Linked DNA regions of Oryctolagus cuniculus. The protein of the gene in region 2 purifies or fractionates together with the protein of the main gene of each other region. This does not show direct contact. Links are inferred from orthologs where the notes say so. Each region holds a gene or a part of one and is shown on either strand. Other genes may lie near its edges.

Evidence for each region.
Region 1: the proteins of TRMT112 (region 2) and ALKBH8 purify together in Homo sapiens (co-immunoprecipitation; 3 studies listed by IntAct, with this or other methods). This does not show direct contact. The link is inferred for Oryctolagus cuniculus from reciprocal best matches to the Homo sapiens genes TRMT112 and ALKBH8.

The regions. Positions count from the first base shown.
Region 1 is NC_091432.1:99,375,648-99,380,979, forward strand, and holds the start of ALKBH8 (alkylated DNA repair protein alkB homolog 8), read right to left. Parts: upstream 3,123-5,332; 5' UTR 3,000-3,122; coding exon 2,986-2,999; intron 212-2,985; exon of another isoform or gene 22-211; intron 1-21.
Region 2 is NC_091432.1:7,009,976-7,013,931, reverse strand, and holds TRMT112 (multifunctional methyltransferase subunit TRM112-like protein), read right to left. Parts: upstream 2,127-3,956; 5' UTR 1,832-2,126; coding exon 1,754-1,831; intron 1,680-1,753; coding exon 1,578-1,679; intron 1,485-1,577; coding exon 1,395-1,484; intron 1,321-1,394; coding exon 1,213-1,320; 3' UTR 1,149-1,212; coding exon of another isoform or gene 1,041-1,148; 3' UTR 922-1,040; downstream 1-921. Other genes in the region: ESRRA (steroid hormone receptor ERR1), read left to right, coding at 1-216; PRDX5 (peroxiredoxin-5, mitochondrial), read left to right, coding at 2,301-2,474, 3,462-3,596, 3,845-3,956. UniProt on the Homo sapiens protein: Acts as an activator of both rRNA/tRNA and protein methyltransferases. Together with methyltransferase BUD23, methylates the N(7) position of a guanine in 18S rRNA.

The DNA of each region.
Region 1 (5,332 bases), about 92 Mb from region 2:
ATTATTTTTTCTAGTATCCACCTTGTTCCACTGGACGATGAGGTCTTCAAAGACAGGGATTAAAGCATACTTTTCCTAGTTACTCCAGACACTCATTCACTGCCATGAGCCAGTATAACACAGTGGCTGGAGTCCAGGTTCAAATTTCAGCTCCATGAACCATTAACTGTATGACAGTTAGCCATGTATTTCTGTGTTTCACTTTCTTCATCTGTAAACAGAGGCAAGGATAATAATAATAATGCCTCTCATCATTTTGTTATGGAGGATTAAATTCATTTATTACTATATTACTGTTCATTTTTAGAAGAGCTATATCAGAACTGTTTAACAAGATGAAGTCCAGCTGAGGACCTTCATTCCGCTTTAAGATCTCCATCTTTGGAACAGCAACTTGACAGCATATCATGGATAACGAGGCATGAGGGTGCACAAAATAATTTTATTAATATCTCACATGAGCAAAGATCACAAAATGAAAAAAATGTCAGAAAAGATGCTGACAATCTTTCATAAGTCAGCTACCAAGAGTTCAGCACCAGCAGATGGAGCCTCAAAACCACATTTCTGTTATCCTCTCTCCTGTCTCCTGCACTCTGCCCTGCAACATCATTGCATTTGAAAGACAAAGCAGGATACTATTTGAGACTCATTTTTCCTCCAGTCCAGTGGCTTGACAGCCATGGCTCAGCAGATCTGAGTCACCTCAACAAGGAACAGGCTGGTACCAGCTGTTGAGATCTGGAGGTGCTCCCTTTCTAAGAAAGCCATAACCCTGACCAGGGAGCTTCCTCTATTGCACAGACGCTTGGATGTTCCATGCCATGTTATGGGAGTAGGGTCCCTATTTACTAGGATACTAGCCATGCTTAGTGTAGTCCAGCTGCTTCCAGACCAAGAAAATTCCCTGTGGGATGACCCTTTGAAGATTATGCATACTCTGCTACCTGCTTGTTAGGAAGTTTAACCCTAATGCATCCTACTGCATATTTCCCTGTGTGTGTCATGCCTTTCTTGAACAACACAGCACTTATTATGACCCTGGAAGCATAGAAAAAAAAAAGTGCTTGTGTGCTTAAATTATACTTCATTAATAGCAAAATTAGAAAACCTAAACTCTTATCAAATGAAGCCAGATTTTAAAGTATAGCACAAGTATATACATTGTACATAAAAATCATTAGAACACAAAAGAAACTGGTGACATGGGGTGATTCCACAGAGGCAAATTGGGTAGGTAAGTCCAGGAATGAGAGGGAGCTTTCCTGTTTGACATTTTTTTAATTCAGTATATATTCATTTAAATTATCTATTTTTAAATGAAATAAAGATTTTTAATGATGGGGAAAATAATACACCCCTCACTAATCATATCATTTCATTTTAACTCTTGAAAGAGCACAAACTGGGACTGGCGCTGTGGTGCAGCGGGTTAAAGCCTTGGCCTGAGTACTGGCATCCCCTATGGGCACCAGTTCTAGTCCCAGCTGCTCCTCTTCCTATCCAACTCTGTGCTGTGGCCTGGGATAGCAGTGGAAGATGGCCCAAGTCCTTGGGCCCCTGCACCCACATGGGAGACCCGGAAGAAGCTCCTGGCTCCTGGCTTCAGATCAGCACAGCTCCAGCTGTTGTGGCCATCTGGGGAGTGAACCAGCGGATGGAAGATGTCTCTCTCTGTCTCTATCTCTCTCTGTAACTCTGTCTTTCAAATAAATAAAATAAATCTTTAAAAAAAAAAAAAAGAGCACAAACTGTCTAGTTCCTTACACTCTGGCTAATTTGTTTATTCTCTCTTGCTCCTATACCCTAACAGAGACTATGCTCCATGAAGTTGGGATTTTCTATGTGTAACTCACCACGTAGCAGTCAGCAACTAAACAGAATCTGGCACATGGCAGCCACTCAATTGTCTTCTGAATTCTGTCTGAAATCTGCCAACTTGGTTCCTAAGCCTCTCCTCCTCCAGAATTCTGAGGTGTTTTCATCGACACTCAGTGCGTCTGTCCAAAGTTCTCTCTCACACTGTAATTACCTGCTTCATGTCACGTACTTAGTAAGGGCACAGAATTGAGTGCCTGGGTTACAGCTGACAAAAAATATGTTCAGGGCCGGTGCCGCGGCTCGCTAGGCTAATCCTCCACCTGAGGCGACGGCACCCCAGGTTCTAGTCCCAGTTGGGGCGCCGGATTCTGTCCTGGTTGCTCCTCTTCCAGTCCAGCTCTCTGCTTTGGGCTGGGAAGGCAGTGGAGGATGGCCCAAGTGCTTGGCCCTGCACCCGCATTGGAGACCAGGAGAAGCACCTGGCTCCTGGCTTCAGATCAGCGCGGTGAGCCAGCCGTAGTGGCCATTTGGGGGGTGAACCAACAGAAGGAAGACCTTTCTCTCTGTCTCTCTCTCTCACTATCTAACTCTGTAAATATATATATATATATATGTTCAATAGAATAACATTCTGTATATTAATAAAAATTAAAACAAAAAACCAGCCAACACCACGGGACGCCCAGGAGTCACAGGGATTACTCAAATAAGAGCACAGGAAGACACAGCCCTGTGGGACATCAGGCCACCAGCGACGCCTTTGCTTCACTGGACTGACGCTGGTCCAGTCAGAAAAGCCCTAGAAGCGCTAGACTAAGACCACAGACCCACGTGGGCATCCGTGCCAAACACAAACATATACACCTTGGACACTGACAAAACCACCCAACGCACAGGCACCCTACTGCCCACGGGCCGCACTGCTCGGGTCCCCCCTCCTTTCCCTGGGCTGTCAGCCCCCACCGGCCAAGCGGATAGAAAAGACTGAAAGAAGGTAACAAGAGGAAGAGGAAAAGGCATTGCAGCCCAAAGTGCTCTCCAGCAAGAAGTGCCACACTCCTCCGCCTCGGCTTAAGCCAGATTTTTCCCGCGCGGGCACTGCTTCCCTCCAACCTCTTCACTTTAGCCCATGAACCCGCCGCAGAAACTCGCACACCAACTCACCTGGGCGCGGCCATATTGGAAGCAACCGCACTACATTTCCCATGAGTCGACGGGGCGACGAACGGAGCTCCCACAATTCCCTTCGGTCCCCGGAGCTCTCTGTTGACCCTTTCTTCGCCGAATGTCTTTGCTCTCCGTTACCGTGTAAATCGCTTCTTATTTGGGGGCATAGTAATGTTTTAGAATGCGGCTTATTTTTTTCAGCGCTCCCCAAATGGAAAAAGGTCAAACAAGTTTGTCTCCTTGGGTCTCACCCCGCCTTGATCTCTCAGCATATCTTTCCTCCTGTATCTTCTTGGAGGTATGGAGAGGATGCTGGGGGCTGAAAGAGGACATTGTGCGAGCTGGAAGGAAGGTGCATGCGCGTGAATGTGCCGGGGGAACGTGAGTACCCTAGAGTGTTAGGAAGATGCATGGGAGATGTTGAAGGAGGTAAAAAGAGAGGGTGCCTCCACACCGTCCATGACCTAACACTGTTCTATTTTCTAGGGCTAAGGGGGTCCCAGAAAGATTCGAGAAACAAAGTGATATAACCAGAGCTTCTATTTGATAGTGGGAGGGGAGACTAGAAGAAAAGAGCCGTTCACATGGTAAAGTGAAAAGGAAGGAGGGGCCGGCGCTGTGGCGCGGCGGCTGAACTCCCTGGCCTGAAGCGCCGGCTTCCCATATGGGAGCCGGTTCTAGTCCCAGCTGCTCCACTTTCCATCCAGCTCTCTGCTGTGGCCTGGGAAAGCAGTAGAGGATGGCCCAGGTCCTTGGGCCTCTGCACCCCGTGGGATCCCAGGTCAGACAAAGCTCCTGGATCCTGGCTTTGGATCGGCGCAGCTCCGACTGTGGTGGCCATCTGGGGAGTGAACCAGCGGGTGGAAGATCTCTCTCTCTCTAACACTTTCAAATAAATCTTAAAAAAAAAAGGAAGGAAATGTTAACTGAGACACAGAAATGGCAGATAGAAGGGGGAAAGATCTAGTAACAGACCAGAAATAAAAGACCTGGGAGATGTGTAAGGAAAAACACATTGAATGCCCCCCATTGCAGTCTTGCTTGTGCACTACTGGATGCGTTCAAAAGCATCCCAATAGTACTTCCTGCAATTATCAAAACATTTTATAATCTGAGCTGTCTGGTATGGTAGACACTTGTGTTGGATGGCTTTTGGACATTGCAAATGTGGCTAGTACAACTAAGAAACTGAATCGCAAATTTTTAAATTTTTATTTAGTTGTAATTAGCTTAAATAGCTGTATGTGGCTATTTGATACCAAACTGAACAGTGTAAAGTATCCCACTTCCCAATGGCCGAATTCCGTACTTTCACCTTAGTATCTGGCCTACTTGAAGGTACTGAAGCTTTCAAAACTTTTGAATTTCTTTTCTGAGATTTATTTGTTTATTTGAAAGCAGAGTTACAGAGAGGCAGACACAGAGAGAGAGAAAGAGGTCTTCCATCCACTGGTTCACTCCCCAAATGGCCATAATGGCTGGGGCTGGACCAGGCTAAAGCCAAGTGCCAGGAGCCAGGAGCTTCTCCTGGGTCTCCTATATGAGTTCAGGAGCCCAAGGACTTGGGCCATCTTCTACTGTTTTCTCAGGCCATAGCAGAGAGCTGCATTGGAAGTGGAGCAGCCAGGACTCAAACCAGCACCCGTATGGGATGCGGGCACTGCAAGTGGCAGCTTTATCTGCTATGCCACAGCACTGGCCCCAAAACTTTTAAATTTCTAAGCCTCTGGGAAACTGTTCTCTTTTAGTTCTCTTTACACATCTTGATCACTTGCTGTCAGAATTTGTGCTACCTTCCCTGTGTCCATAATTAAACACCAGCAATCCCTCAGTTTTGTGGTTGATTCTTTTTTTCTGCAGATTCTTTCCTGTCTGTCGCCCCAGAATTTTAAAGAGATTTATGAATCATTCCCCATTCCCATTTAACAATTTTTAAAATAATTTTTCAACTTTATTATTATTATTATTAGAGAGAGCTGGTTGACTACCCAAATTCCAACAGTGGCCTGGACTGGGCTGAACCCAGAACCAACACCTGGGAACTCAATCCAGGTCTCCCGTGTTAGTGATAGGCATCCAATGACTTGATTCATCCATCACTTGCTGCCTCAGGTCTGTATTAGTAAGAAGCTGGATTTGAAGTGTCTGAACAAGTAGGTCAAATGCTCACCCCTGGGAAGCAATTTGGTTTCATAAGACTCTGAACATTGGATCATGATCTGAAATAGAAATTGCAAAACAGCATTTACTTTCTGGGATTGATGTGGTAAAATACTGCATATTGCTCTTATGGTTGTTTTTCTCCCTTTCTGCCCCTGAGTTACAGGCCTAAATTTCCAACTAC
Region 2 (3,956 bases):
GAAGCCCTGCACGAGGCCCTGCTGGAGTACGAAGCCGGCCGGGCTGGCCCGGGAGGCGGCGCCGAGCGGCGGCGGGCCGGCAGGCTGCTGCTCACGCTCCCGCTCCTCCGCCAGACCGCGGGCAAAGTGCTGGCCCACTTCTACGGGGTGAAGCTGGAGGGCAAGGTGCCCATGCACAAGCTGTTCCTGGAGATGCTCGAGGCCATGATGGACTGAGGCCAGGGGCGGCACGGCGGGCGCTGGCGGGCGCTGGCGGGCCCTGCCGGCTCAGGTCGCCCCAGGGGCAGAGCTGGGGTCTGGGCAGTGCCGCAGCCTGCTGGCAGGGCCGGGGCAATGCCACCAGCCCCTGGGAGCAGGCCCCACGCCCTCCCCTCCCCCTCCGAGGGGGTGTCGCAAGCTGGGAACGTGTGCGCCCAGGCTTTGGGCAGTGCTGCCCTTGCAAGCCATAACGAGCCCCCAGAGCCGAGGGGGCCTTGCGGAAGCCATAGGGGGCCGCGGGGGGGCAGATGCTGACCTCAGGGAGGGAAGGGCATGGAGGCCACAGGCTCCCGGCGGGTGACGCTTCTGCTGCTGCTTAGTCCACCCTCTCCTGAGCAGAGGGGCCCGCGGAGAGCGAAGGCCCTGCCCCCTCGCTCCTCTCCTCCTCATCTGCATTGGGCCTTCGTGCCCCCCTTGAAGCAATAACTCCAAGCAGGCTCCAGCCCCTGGACCCCTGGGGTGGCCAGGCCCCCCTCCCCCCAGCTCCTGCGCCTCCTCAGGGGGCAGGGACAGCACCGCCTCTGTGCCCTGCAGAGCAATAACACTATATTTATTTTTGGGTTTGGCCAGGGAGGCGCAGGGACCTGGGGCAGGCCGGGGCCCAGAGCCCGCGGCTGTACAGAGACTCTATTTTAATGTATATTTGCTGCAAAGAGAAACCGCTTTTGGTTTTGAACCTTTAATGAGAAAAAATATATATATACTACGGAGCGCAAACCACCGCGTGTGCAGTGTGTCGCTGGGGGAGGGGCCGCGCGGGCGGGGCGGGGCGGGGGCGGCGGTCAGCTCTCGGTCTCCTCGTCGCTCAGCAGCATGTTGGGGATCCCGCGGCTGATGGGGAACAGCCGTCCGGACTCCGGGCACTGCAGCGTGCCCTCCAGCACCTCCACCTGCGGGCGGGAGGCGCGGCTGAGCGGGAGGGCGCGGGCGGGGCGGCGCGGGCGGGGGCGGCGGTCAGCTCTCGGTCTCCTCGTCGCTCAGCAGCATGTTGGGGATCCCGCGGCTGATGGGGAACAGCCGTCCGGACTCCGGGCACTGCAGCGTGCCCTCCAGCACCTCCACCTGCGGGCGGGAGGCGCGGCTGAGCGGGAGGGCGCGGGGCGGGGCGGGGCGGGGGCGCGCGCGCGGGCTGTCACCTCCAGCAGCACGTGGTGCATCTTGCGCAGAAACGCCTCGTCGCACTCGTAGCCCTCCACCGGCTCCTTGGGCACCTCCGCCAGGTGCAGCTGCGGGCGAGAAGCCGGCGTCAGCCCCCGCTCGCCGCCCCCGGCCTCGGCCCCCCACCCCCGGGGTCCGCGCGGCGCGGCCGGGGGCCTCACGGTGTTGGCCGCCTCCAGGAGCGCCGCCCACTCCACTTTGGGGATCATCCGCGCCACGAAGGTGGGGTTGAACTCCACAGGGTTGATGCGCACCTCGGTGGCCTGCGGGGCAGAGAGCGTCAGTCGCGCGGGGGCGGGAGCCGCGCACCGGGGCCGGAGGCCGCCCCTGCCCCTACCTGCAGGCGCAGGGGGAAGCCGCGGGGCCCCACCCCCCGCACGTGGGAGCTCAGCAGGTTGTGGGTGAGCAGCTTCATGTCGCCGCCGGCGCGCTTGCCAGGCCGGAACCGGAACACCAGCCGCTCCGCTCGCGCCACTTCCGGGGCTGCCCCGGCGGGCCGGAAATGGCGAACGTGCGGGCACTTCCCGCGTTCGCCGGAACAGGCGGTGTGTGGCAGACCCGGGCGGGTCACGCGCTGGCGAGGCGCGCGTCGAACAAGGGATGCGAGTGCGCGCCGGTGCGGCTGCTGCACGCGTGTGGCTCCTCCACGCGTTCCTCACACGGCGTCTCCCCGCCCGTAAGCCACGCCTCCTCAAGTGCCGATGAGCGAAGCCCCGCCCCAATGCAAATGAGCCTGGCGTCCCGGAAGCCCACGCCTGCGCGGTGGAGGCGGCTCGCCGGGGGCGGGGCGCAGCAGGTGCCCCGACCATCGCGGTCACGTGGTCACGGGCCCGCCCCCCCCCGCCCCCCGCTGAGGGGCGGGGCTGCTGCGGCCGTGAGAGGGCATGGGACTGGCCGGGCTGCGCGTCCTGGGACACCGGGTGGGCTCGGTGCTCTCGGGTGCGGTCGTCCGCGAGAGTGCAGCGGCGGCGGCTGCAAGACGGCGACTTGGAGCGGGGCGTGCGCTCTGTGGAACCCGCAGTTTCAGCGGCGCTGCCGTAGTCATGGCTCCGATCAAGGTGACCGTCCCCGGCCCCCGGCTTCCCAAGGGCGCCCCCGGCACGCTCGTCTGGGGTGTCGCCGCCTTTCCTTCCCTTGGGTTCCCTCGGAGACCCCTCCCCGCCTCCCCGCCGCCGCCCTGGAGTCCCTGCCACCTGCGCTTCGTCCCCTCTCCCGACCCCTGGCTGCCCGCTGCTCTCGCGGGTTCCAGGGGCCTGGTGTCCAGTCGCCTGGGACCGCCCCGAGCCTGCGGCGCCGCGCCGTTCTGGGGGAGCTGACGCCATGGCCTCCCCCCCAAGCCATCTCCGTTGCCCCAGGGCCTCCCCTCCTCGTGTCCCCCACGCCTTTGCGATGGTGCTGGGCCCCCCGCACCCCGCCTTGGCCGAGAGCCCAGTGGTGCCCCAGGCCCCCTCCAGGGCCGATGCCCACCCCTCTGCCGGCGTCCTCCACGCGTCTTCGGGACCCAGCCCCAGCCCCTGTCCTGAGGGCCCCTGAGACGCGGGGGGACTCTTGCTCCCCTCTGTCCACCTCTTCTGGGCCCTGGACGCCCGCACACACTCCCAGGCACACTTCCTTTCTTATCCACACCCCCGGTAGCTTTCCCGCCCGCGGGCAGCCGAGGGCAAGACACTGAGGCCTGGCTGGGGTCCTGGCCCTGCCTGCTGGGGCCTCCTCTCCACCCCCAAATACAGCGCTCTGCTCTTAGCCCACCCTTTCCTGCGACCCACGGCCACACTGGGGGAGCCTCCCCCTTTCTCCGTTGTCACCCGTGGGCCCTTCGAAGGAGCAGGGCCACCTTGGGACCTGGAGGGTGGGGGTAGCCAGGTGGGGAGGGGGTGAGGGCCAGGCAGGAACCGTTGGAAACTGATGGGACTGGACTTTCCTGCTGGGCGGGACCGTGTCCTGGAGTCACCCCGCCCTCCGGCTCCTTGGGAACGTCTCTCTCCCTCCGCTCTGGGTGGCTGCCCCGCCCGGCTTCTCCCCACTTACCCCGACCTCCTCCCTAGGTGGGGGACGCCCTGCCCGCCGTGGAGGTGTTTGAAGGGGAGCCGGGGAACAAAGTGAACCTGGCGGAGCTGTTTAAGGGCAAGAAGGGTGTGCTGTTTGGAGTCCCCGGGGCGTTCACCCCTGGCTGCTCCAAGGTGAGGCCCCCTTCGGCGGGTCCTGGGTGTCCTGAGCCTGTGGGTGAGGTGGCGGTTTGGGAAGTAGATCCTGCCGGCTGGTGACTGGTCTGGGAGGGGCCTGGGGCCTTGGCAAGGGAGACACAGTTCACAGCCCTGACCACGGGACAAGTCGGGCTCTGAGCTTCCTAGTGGCCCAGGCAGCAGGGGAGCCTGGTGGGCTGAGAGGCCGGGGGAGCTGACCGCTTTGTGCACCTGTCTCCTCGCAGACTCATCTGCCAGGGTTTGTGGAGCAGGCTGAGGCGCTGAGGGCCAAAGGGGTGCAGGTGCTGGCGTGTGTGAGCGTCAACGACGTCTTCGTCATGGGCCAGTGGGGGCGCG